2 linked regions of the Caenorhabditis elegans genome follow. The protein of the gene in region 2 purifies or fractionates together with the protein of the main gene of each other region. This does not show direct contact. Each region holds a gene or a part of one and is shown on either strand. Other genes may lie near its edges.

The links. Proteins that work in one complex are often made in the same cells at the same time.
Region 1: the proteins of R02F11.9 (region 2) and H24K24.2 fractionate together in Caenorhabditis elegans (co-fractionation; one large-scale study listed by BioGRID). This does not show direct contact.

The regions. Positions count from the first base shown.
Region 1 is NC_003283.11:915,845-921,983, reverse strand, and holds the start of H24K24.2 (Protein NLRC3), read right to left. Parts: upstream 4,197-6,139; 5' UTR 4,168-4,196; coding exon 4,110-4,167; intron 2,280-4,109; exon of another isoform or gene 2,279-2,279; coding exon 2,024-2,278; intron 1,982-2,023; coding exon 1,869-1,981; intron 609-1,868; coding exon 346-608; intron 1-345. Other genes in the region: adh-5 (Alcohol dehydrogenase class-3), read right to left, coding at 5,837-6,139.
Region 2 is NC_003283.11:4,785,760-4,791,222, reverse strand, and holds R02F11.9 (CX domain-containing protein), read right to left. Parts: upstream 3,758-5,463; coding exon 3,627-3,757; intron 3,284-3,626; coding exon 3,068-3,283; intron 3,025-3,067; coding exon 2,844-3,024; 3' UTR 2,775-2,843; downstream 1-2,774. Other genes in the region: R02F11.12 (C-type lectin domain-containing protein), read right to left, coding at 1-104, 160-325, 372-439, 489-555; R02F11.10 (CX domain-containing protein), read right to left, coding at 1,178-1,358, 1,402-1,611, 1,952-2,100; Y60C6A.3 (uncharacterized protein), read right to left, coding at 5,083-5,216, 5,263-5,419.

The sequences.
Region 1 (6,139 bases), 3.9 Mb from region 2:
ACCAACTTTTGATTGGTTAGCTGTGCTGCAATATATGTCATCTTTGATAATTTATTGAGAAAATTTAAAAAAAAACTGAGACAAATCTGGAAAAGGGCTGAAACAAAACGGAGAAAAGCTTTGAACATTTAAAAAAATACCACATTTCACGCTATGGTTGAAAATGAATTAATTCTTGGAACATGTTTTTCTTTGAATTTTTGTTAAAAAATCCACACCATGGTTACGCAGCAAAATTCGAAATTTTCAAAACGCATCTAAACTGGTATTAGACCTCATCTAAAATAAGCAATACTCCCCAGCAAACCAAGTTGTTAATTATTCCATCAAAACCCGTAAACTCACTTATCTTGCGATACATCCAAAACGGTTAACTTGGTTAATGAAAATAGTTCTATTAAATCAGATGTTTGGTTAATGTCCAAGTTTCTCATTGAAAGTATTTGTAAATTAACTAGCATCTTCATTCCGGAAAGGTTTCTGATGTTTGTATTACTAATATCCAACACACGTAAATTGGAAAAACCAATGCAAAGATGGGAAAACTCATCGTCATTCACTTGTCCATTGATTGCAAAGCATTTCAAAGCGGGCAGCATATTATTTATCTGAACAAAAATTTACAAACGTTTCCAAAAAAAAAGACAGTTATTCATGTTGAAAAAAAGTGTGAAGTTATTTCTTATTTTCTTAAAGGTGGAGTAGCGCCAGTGGGTATTTTGTCTAAATGCACTTATAATGATCCAAAACAACCAAGTATCATAATAATCCGGTCAAAGTTTTGGAAAATTCCCAACATCTTGCAAAGTATGAGATTTTGAGAAAACTTAAAGAAATGTCGCATGTTTCGACCCCTACAGTGTTTTAATACAAATAATTTAAATAAAGTTAAAACATAAAAAATATCGAAATTTTTTTTTTGGTCGACTTCCAAAATGATGAGTGGCAAAATCGGAGAAATTGCCCCTTTTTGACAGTAAATAAAACAATTTCAAAATTTTTTTGAAAAGTTTAAGCATGATATTTGGTCATTATTGGACCAAAGGAGTGGTTTTTAATAATTTTCCCACTGGCGCTACTCCACCTATTAATTTTTGTCTCCGCCCACTGAATCCTGTTCCCTTTGGAATCCTGTTTTAGTGTGGCTTAAAAAAACCTAGATAAGGACGGAGTCTACCATATGCCTTTTAATAAAATAGGGTATTAACATATATACGAAGCCTATAGTGTTGAAGCTTCTATTAGTTTTGCACTTTCTAACCAGTTAAAACACTAATCTAACTTCAATTTTGAAAAAATAGCACACAGCTGAATTGAATATAAATTACTCACTATCATCTCAAATCAAAAATTGCTGGTTTGAACGGAGGGTGTCATCAAACAACATTGATATGAGAGTTATGTGCGGCTTTTCTCAATTTAGTATACAATGTGTTTGTAGAAAAATTAATTCAAAAACAACTTTTGGTACAATTCATTTTATACCCCGCATTTTTTGGAACATTTACGTTAATAAAAACGTGGCCTTTTTCTTTATTTTAAGGTTGACTCGTAGTGATCAAGTAAAAAATGTTTTTAAAAAATTTGATTTGAGATGATAATCAGTAATTTAAAATCAATTCAGGTGTTTGCTATTTTTGTTCAAAATTGAAGGGAGAATAATGTTATTATTGTTATATCTGGTTACTATGACCCATTTTCTGCCAGTGCAGGCTTGATCACATTACTCCACTATTAAAGGCTCACAATTATTCAAAGTTTAAAATGCATTAATGCTGTTGGTTGTCGAAAAAACCAGAAACTGTGGTTTTTGTGGCGCTTACTGTAAAATTTGGAAAACAGACAACAATGAAATACAAAAATGTAACCTTTGCTGGCCATTCCTTGGCAAATGGACTCTCCATCGTGATTTCTAAACTGTGAAGTACATTACGAGATTCTTCGTTGAGAAAACTTTCCAAAAAACGTACTATATCGTAACCTGCAAATTATGTTTCTTTCACCTCAACTATTGCAATCTTACCGTTCATGAATCTCCTGCCACGTTTGACCCAATCTAAGTTTCCGAGGCTAAGTGACTCCAAATTTTGACATCTAATCGCTTCAACAAGTTCTTTGCTAACGTGGTAATTGAATAAGTCGACTTTCTTCAAGCAGAAAAAATGTCCAAATCGAGTCAGTGCCTCTTCGCAAAGTCCGAATTTTAATTTCATCAACTCACTGAACATTTTGTCGCTGGCTGTTCTATCCAGAGGTCGAACAAGCATGTTGAAGTTGTCTGAATGATTGTTTTTTGATAAACTTTCTGTACTTCTTATTTCATATTCACCCAAAATTGGAAAAATAACTCCACAACAATCATCCCTTAGCCAGCCCCCTCTTTCGAACCATTTATAGAAAAGTCTGATTAGAGAAGTTTAGTCCTCGAGTGATTTGAAACCACACCAGCACTGGTGAAAAATCACTCGAGTTCGAGCAGTAGAACATAGTGATTTTCTCGAGTGCTGATCAGGGCTGTGCGGCAACCGGGATTTTCGGCAACCGGCCATTGCCGAAGTTGCCGAACCCAAAAATTTTCGGCAACCGGCAATTGCCGAAGTTGCCGAACCCAAAAATTTTCGGCAACCGGCAATTGCCGAAGTTGCCGAACCCAAAAATTTTCGGCAACCGGCAATTGCCGAAGTTGCCGAACCCAAAAATTTTCGGCAACCGGCAATTGCCGAAGTTGCCGAACCCAAAAATTTTCGGCAACCGGCAATTGCCGAAGTTGCCGGACCCAAAAATTTTCGGCAACCGGCAACTTTCGATTGCCGAATTTTCGTCAACTTTTCGGCAACTTTTCGGCAACCGGCAACCAAGTTTTAAAGTTTTTTTTGTTGAATACATAGTTTTGAGCGTTTTGGAAAAAAAATAATGGTCGTTTTCTCGTTTACGGCGAAATATTAGCATTTTTCAGGCTCTCCGAATGCTTTTTCTGAGCTACAGAATGTTTGACAATGATATCGGCAGTTGCCGAAGTTGCCGAAAAAAGTTCGGCAATTGCCGAAGTTGCCGAACTCCAAAGTTTTCGGCAACCGGCAATTGCCGAAGTTGCCGAACCTCAAAATTTTCGGCAACCGGCAATTGCCGAAGTTGCCGATTAAAAAAAATTTCGGCAATCGGCAACTCTTGGTTGCCGAAACTTCGGCAACTTTTCGGCAACCGGCAACTCGGTTGCCAGTTGCCGCACAGCCCTGGTGCTGATGTGGTTTTCGCACTGTCAAGGGAAGTCGAAAAACTTAACCCCGGACTTTGGCATGCCATAGTAATTTTTCGATGAAAGAGTGAAAATAATGATCCCTCCAAAAAATTTAGCTGCCCCGGTCCAGGTTCAGCAAAGTTATGACGTTTTGAAAGTGGCTAAAACACCTTTTTAAAAAATAATTTTTTTTCTGAAAAGAGAAAAAAATATGTGTAAATGATTTAAAACAGTGAAAAGCATATGCCATGCAAGTTTTAGCTCATAACTCTCAAGAAAACCCTTTTTGGAATTTTTCTCTAGATATGTAGATCAAGCAGTGTGGTTTTTTGCCCGTGGGGAGAAAAAACGTACATGATATATGTTTTTCACATTTTTGGATAAGCTACAATAGTTTTTATCAATTTTTAGAAAAACTTTTTTTTTTGAAAATTTGAACGTTTTTTTCGCTAGGGTTTGGTCAAGGAATTTTTTTCGGCACTTTCAAAACGTCATAACTTTGTTGAACCTAGACCGGGGCAGCTAAATTTTTTGGATCGAAAAATTACTATGGTATACAAAAAAATTACGGGGTTAAGTTTTTCGACTTCACTTGTGAGGTTAGGGTTTTCAACCTGAGTTCTAATTTCCAGTCGGCCGATGAGCAAACATCACATTTGTTCAAACTGTCACCAACGCAAAATAAACAATAGAGAATATATTTTCAAAACATTCCTTTTACAAATTTCCGACCATTAGTCAACCGCATTTCCATTCATGTGACGTCACACTCATTTAGCAGCGTAATTACTAAAGAATAAATACGTGACGTCATGAGATTGTCACGTATTCCTAACCAGAAGACCAGAAAGACCAGAAAAGAAACTCTCACCATTGTCTATTAGCTTTGCAATTTTCTCGATAATTATGTCTTGCAGCGGTCTTATCATTTCCAATTGTAGATTTGTAAACTGATTCTGAATTTTTTGTTATAATAAAAGTACAGGTTATTGTTGGCTTTGAAAAGATAAAATTCGGTGACTGTAATAAAGAGATGCAAGACTACTTATTATGTTTTATCATAACCCATTAAAATGTTTTGGGATTAAGCTACTACACAACTATTCAAATTCCAAATACCATTAGAAAAAATTGAAATTTTATATATACTGGACATCAGAAAGATTTGTTTACTATAGCTTCTTTTGACCTAGTGCAGGTCACCTTACAACATTTTTTACCTATTTGGAATATAGTTTGAAAAAAAGAAGGTAAGGAAAAATGCGGAGAAATGCGTAAATTATAAATTTTCAAAACTAAAATAGTGTCTATAGAATACATTTCGAAATAAAAACAAAGAAGGAAGAAAACGTTTAAATGAGGCGGCAGTACCATGTCAGTAATTAGGATGTATGTACAGGTTGTCTCATTCGTTTACTGTGCAGTTGGTTTCAGCGTTTAGATAAAATCGATATATCTTGTCGTGATGTACAGAGGATTATATATGTCATTCGTGGGAAAATAGAACAATTGTAATGGGACACAATTTCGAAAATCGAATTAAAAAAATAACTGAAGAACGCTATAAAACAGATATGTGGGCTGAAATCGAACAATTTCGGCAATTGCCGAATTGCAGAAAATTTGGAATGACGATCGTCAATTGCCGCTCACCCTTGATGTAGTCTCTATTAGAAATGATAGACCTGATAGTATACTGAACTTATATATTGAACTTTCCGTTTTTATTTCCGATTAAGGATTTTGCTCTAAAAGTCTGTGGTATATTTGGCCTAAATGTTATAACAGTTTCAATAAAATGTAAAGTACTAAGCTTTTTTTACAGTTAGACTTTTTTCCTGGGGTTTTGCGGACCTCCAAGAAAGTTCTAGTAGCTTACTGATTGAAAAAATTCTAGATATTTCCTGAATTTCTAGAAAATTCTAGGAACTCACTTTCTGAAACTATAATACTACAGTACCCAACCATATCTCCCTACTAACCTCAAACCAATATCTTTTCAAAATGCGAAAAGTCAATTTTTACAAAACTACAGTAATCCTACAGTAATCCTACAGTACCTCGACCATATCCCCTCCTAACCCCACTCAAGGGTGTCATTTTTCGATTTTTCGATTTTCTGGAAAAATCGAAAAACCGACACCCTTGACCCCAATGCTTCAATCCCTTCAACAGCCTGAAAAACCTTGCCTCGTGACAATTGTAACATACACCATGTATTTTTTCACCACAAACGAAGCATTTGCATTTTGAAAAGGAAGTGTTTCTAAAAAACTACCATGAACTTTTTTGCGCGCCGAGACCCATCTGAATAAATACGTGCGCCTTTAAGAAGGCATGGCAAAAATTTGTGAAATCACAGTATTTTTCCTGGCAACAAATTCAAAGCTTGCATTTCGCGTCTCACTGCAATGGAAGCCCTAGTCAAAATAAATACAAACAAACTTTATTTCAATATCTTCAAAAGTTAGTAAAAAAGATTTGACCAGAAAAAATTACATACTGGAAGCAAATGTATCATTAAAGAACAATATATTTGGATTTACAACGTATTCGTAGTAGTAGGTGGAAACAAAAATTGAACGCAATAAGGTGAAGTTATATTTTCTCGAACGCCAGCACCGACCGCAGACTCTCTCCCTTGTGAAGAACATCGAACGCCGTATTGATATCGTCAATGTTCCAGCGATGAGTAATGAATTCATCGATGAGCAGCTTCTTGTTCATGTAGTCGTCGACGAGTCTCGGCACACTTTCCACGGATTTCCATCCGCCGAATGCGGTTCCCTTCCACGTGCGCCCGGTGACAAGTTGGAATGGACGGGTGGCGATCTCTTGGCCGGCTCCGGCGACTCCGATGATACACGAGACTCCCCATCCTTTGTGGGCGGCTTCGAGGGC
Region 2 (5,463 bases):
AGTACATCCGTTCGTGTTGAGCCATTGTTTCATGCAAGCCGCTGTTCTTCTTGTACCAATCCACACTGATCCGGAGTTAGCACTGATCACTGATAAAGCGAGGTCTGAAAGTTTAGGAGGTATCGAAGGATAGGGAGGTTTCCAAACAGAGTGGCTCACTGGAGATTTGTTGAGCCTCCTCCGAGTTTTGCAGGCCCGAAAGTGTGGCCCCATGAGATTGGCATTGGATCTGAGCATCTGCTTGGTTCATGCGTGCGCCGAATACTTTGACACACCATCCGCCAGATGGACGGTTGAAGCGACGCCACCCAGCGTCGCAGCCACTCTGGAATCACAAATTTTGAGCTAGAGCAAATTTCCCCCGCGCTCACGTTTGAAGGGCGGACTCCTCCTCCACCACCACCGTTTCCAGGTCTTGGTCTTCCTCCTCCATTACCGCCTGAAAACTGAACTAACTAAGCTTCTCAAGACACTTTCCCAAAACTCACTGGACGAGTATCCATAATTCCCGGCAGCAGCGAAACCAATAAAGAACAATACTAGAGGAAATATCATTTTTTTCACGAATTGCCGTTTTTGAGAATCTTTTATAATATGCATTTTATGTTATTCAGCGAAAAATTTGCAAAAACCTCGTATTTTATGATTGTGGTTGTAGTTTGCACTCGAACGTTCATCGGGAGCAAAATTATAATTTTTAATGTCCTAGATTTTGGTACCAAAATAGTCCCAGAGAATGTTTTTCGACTGTTTTTTTTGGTGATAATTCTTAAGATTAACAATTAAAACTAAATTTCAAAAACAATTCAAACCTTTTCTGATAATTTGAATTCTCGCTACAGGTGTGTAAACAGTAATATGAATTTCCGCCAACATTTTTCTTCAAATATTTGAATCTCTAATAAATTTAATACATACATACGTATACAATTGTATTCACACCAACATTGTTTTGAAAAATTTGAATTACAACCTAACATTTTTGCGAAATTTTAATCTCCGCCAAAATTAAAAAAAATAAATATTGTTGAAAAATTTTCTGAAAAATTAAATTCCCGCTATCGAGTTAGAATGTTTTCATTATTTTTCTGCTGTTTTATAAAAAAAATTCAATTTTGCCAAATACTGTGATAAATATTAAAACGTTAAAATATTGTTCTTCCTTCGATCTTTGCATCTAATGAGTGTATTCCGGTGGAACCGCAACTCTGATTTGATGATCACATGGCAAAAAGATGTTATCCAGCGTTGAATGCCTTGAAACACGCCGTTTGCTCTTTTCCTTGTTTTTTGGCTCTCCGCCAAGAAGGCAAACAAGAAGGAATAACACGATGCCAAGAAGGGTGTAGGTGACCACACTGAAATCGATTTTATAGTCTGGAACCAAAATGTGATACATACTTAAAGTGAGTATACGGCTCGATGCATCTAGTCCCACTGCACATTGACCGTTCATGACATCCAAAGAGAGCAGCAGTTGGTATTGTACCATTTTGGAAGACGTTTCCATCAAAAGGCCATTCGGGATGGGAAGCAAGAATTATACAAGTTTCAGGTCTTTCTGGAGATGGGATGTAGGCTCCAGACCAGTAAAATGCAATTCCATGGTAGCTGAAAAGGATATTTAAATGTTTTGGTATTTTGGCACACAATTCAATAGTTTAAATTTTTTTGAAAACCTTAGCACATTACTCAAAAGTAGTTCCATTCTGAGAAACGGTGCCTGCTTTGTGCCTATACCTATGACTACTTGCATCAGAAAAATATTCAAGTAGGCTATAGGCAAATTGGTGACACGTGTAGTCGGAAGGCGACAAACGACTTGTTCCGGCAAATCAGCAAATTGTCGGAATTGAAATTTCCGGCAAATCGGCAATTTGCCGAAATTGAAAATCTCCGACAAATTGAGAAACCGGCAAGTTGCCGATATGCCGATTTTTCCAAAACTTACAAAATAGGATGGCTGGGCTCCTGAACTACTCTGTAATTCTTGAAAATCTCGAATGGCAAATTATAGTGTAATGGCACGCTTGTTGGTGTAACAGGTTTCAACCCAGTTACCATAGAAATGGCAAAAACTAGAAAAATAATAACGTTCATTCTTTTTTAATTTCCAGGGTATTTCAAGGTATAGGCATGCGAAAATTCTCAAAGAATGTATTTGTGAAGAGGAAAAGGAAAAATGAGAGATGAGCATGGTTGCCACGGGAGATTCAATTTTTTTATAGGTAGTACAATAAATTGGATTTTCAGAATTTTCGGAGGATGTACATATGCATGTAAAACAAAAATTTGAAGTGGGAGTTGGGAGAAAAACATAAAAATAAATAATTTATAGTTTTTTTTAACACGCGCCTAGGAGTCCAAAGTTCAAAATTAAAAAGAAATCGCACTTAATCAGGAGGACTTTTTGGCATATTCTCCTCCGTTTTAATTTGATATTTTTGTCGAATTTCTTGACTTTTTACTAATTTTTAAAAATGGTTAAATTTCGCAGTTTAAAAATTCCAAAAACAAATTGCCAAAAATTTTGGGCAACTGCAGTTTTTTAACAAATTCGGCAACTCGGCAATGGGCAAGTTTGTCAAATTTGCCGTTTTCCTAAAAATATCGTTTGCCACCCATCCCTGAAAAATCAAGTGTATCAAATGATTTTTGGTACAATTCCATCAAATGAGTATCCGTACGTTTTTTATATTGATTTGCAGGAGCTTAAACTTCAAATTTCAAATCTCCTATAAATTGCCAATCAAACAATATTTTCTTGTTGCAAAAAAGAGCATTTATACAACTACTAAATCATGTTTCATTACAAGAAAAAATCGAACCAAATCAAAAATGAATTATCCCTCCCTTGGAGTTTCCTCAGCTCTACTGACATCCCCATTAATCATAAGAACTGGAATATAAATCGATCCTAGTTCAGTGTCTCGCGTGGGTCTCAGTTCATTTTGCCGTTGCATAATAATGTAGCGAACAATGATTCCAACCGAAATAACAGATGACAGAATGAGAAATGCGCACCTGGAATTGTTAGTTCACAGATTTAAATGGAGTTGGGTCTCACCAAATGAATCCAGTTTGAAATGGTCGATCACAGTGATACTTTCTGCATAGATCATCTTTTTTGCAACCGAATTCCACTCCATACACTGCCGTTCCATTGGAGAAAGTGCTTTCGGGAAATGGCCAGTCTGGATCACTTTTCAGGAAAACGCACTTATTCTGAATGCCATGTTTACTTTTGTAGTGTCCCGCCCAGTAATAAGTGATGCCAAATTTACTGGAAAAAAAGAAAATTTAAAATTCCAGGCCAACTTTTTTCTGAGAAAGTCTCATTTTCCCGCCTTTAACATTTTCTCAGAAAATTTAAATTTCCCGCCAAAAATTTTTTCTCAGAAAATTTGATTCACAAGTCAAGATTTTTTTGAAAATTTGAACATTCCGCAAGATTTTATACAGAAAAATTAGAGATTCCTGTCAATTTTTTTCCAGAAAATTTAAATTTCCCGCCAAAAAATTTTCTATTTTCTCTCAAAATGTTCTTTGAAAATTTGAAACTCCCGTCAAAAACTTTACATCAGAAAGTTTTCCGCCAATTTTTTTTTCAAAAATTTTTAACTTACTAAATTGGAGCCACTGGGTCTTGAACTATACTGCCATTTCTTTTTCCTTTGCTGCTCGATGTCGAAAATAATGGCACATCAAACGCCAAGACGGCTTCGAAAAAAATAATAGCAAAAAATATAAATCTCATGAGTTGAATTAGTGGAATGAAAAATGAATCAAGAAAATTAAGAAAAAAAAACAGAAAAAAATATATGAGAAACGAGAAAAAATAGGAAAAGAAAAATGCTAGTATTTGTATCTTCTGGTTGCTAAGGGGTTTTTTGTTTTTCAAGTACAAACTACTTCAGACCTAGATAGACAATTGATTAGTATGAATTGTGATAACTAGACTGCTATCATGTCCCGACAGAGCAGGCTCGTCAATATTAGCTGAAATAATGTACTGAACAAAGTCTCGAAAGATTTGCTCACAATACACGGCTCGACCCCGTCCACGGAACTTGTCAATGGTGGTCCAGAAGAATTCAGGCCAGAGCAGCCAAATCAGATGTAGACAGACTAGGATAGAAGCGATGATGATTAGAAAGCAAATAATGAATTGAAGAATCATGCAGAAAATTGTTTTGAAATGGCAAAAAAAAAATGGAAAAATAGATTCGGTGAAGAGTGGAAAGGTTTCCGAGGAGATTCAAAAGAGGCTCGTAAAACGAAGAGACGCAATTTTGAAATTTCTCTTCAATTTCAAAAAAGGTATTAGTGTGTTCTGTTTGTGAGGATAGGGAACCAAACATTTTTTGAATCAATTGTTGCAACTGGTTTTTAAAAACACTACCGTGAAATGTAGTTTTAGCTCATTTTAAACATTTTTATTTCAAAAGTTTTGGAACTCGATTGCCGAAAATTTTGAGTTTGGGGAACTGCGGAATTATCAAACTGCCGAAAAATGTCGCATACCGCCAAATTAAATTCCGTGGGGATTTTGATCTACACACATATGTATATAATAGAAACTGGGTCACAATGCCCAAATATAACGATGAGAACATTTTTTAAACGATTTTTATGAATTTTTCAAAAAAAAATGTTGCGGAAAGAATTCAAATATCTGACTAGACCAGGCCTCATTTTTGGAGATTTCCGATAAAATAAATAGTTTATCTATGTTTTTCTGACAAAAAAAATTGAAAATCGCCAATTGCCAAAAAAAACCATTTGCATTTTTTTGAAAAATTGAAAAAAAAGTGAAAAAATTGAAATTTTTTAAAATTTATTTAGGGTTTTATTCGGTAAATTGAGCCAAATATTAAGCTTGGAAAGTTGCAATTGCGAGCAATCGTAGTAAATTTTGTGCGCAGGTTACTTGCACTTAACTAGAACAATTCAGAAATCAATTTAAATGATATTTTTGAGATAGAGACCTGTTAAAAAAACTAACCTAAAAAGTTATAACGTGAAAAATATTCATTTAAAAAAATTAAATTTAAACATTTATTCAAATGAAACATTTGATCCTCAGTGATCAGTAGCTCCTGGGCATTCTTCGGCGCATTTTAGAAAGTTGTTAAAATCTATCAACTTGCCATCCGGAGCGAAGTACAGATCGACACAATTGACATAACAATTTATATAAGCTTTATCCTCATCATCTGTAATTTTCATAAATTGTTAAGAATGCCTGAACAAAACCATTACCTCCTTGCCCAAAACACGTTTTTTCGCATGTTTCCCATTCAGCGATACTTGTAGAGTTGACACACGAAATGTAACACTTTTTACCAAGCTCCTTGTCAAATGCAGTTGAAGTCGTGAAAAGGAGAAGAAGAGATGGGATGAAAATTTTGCAGAGCATGTTAAAATGATAGTAGATGATAATTTCGGTGCATTTTAAATAGA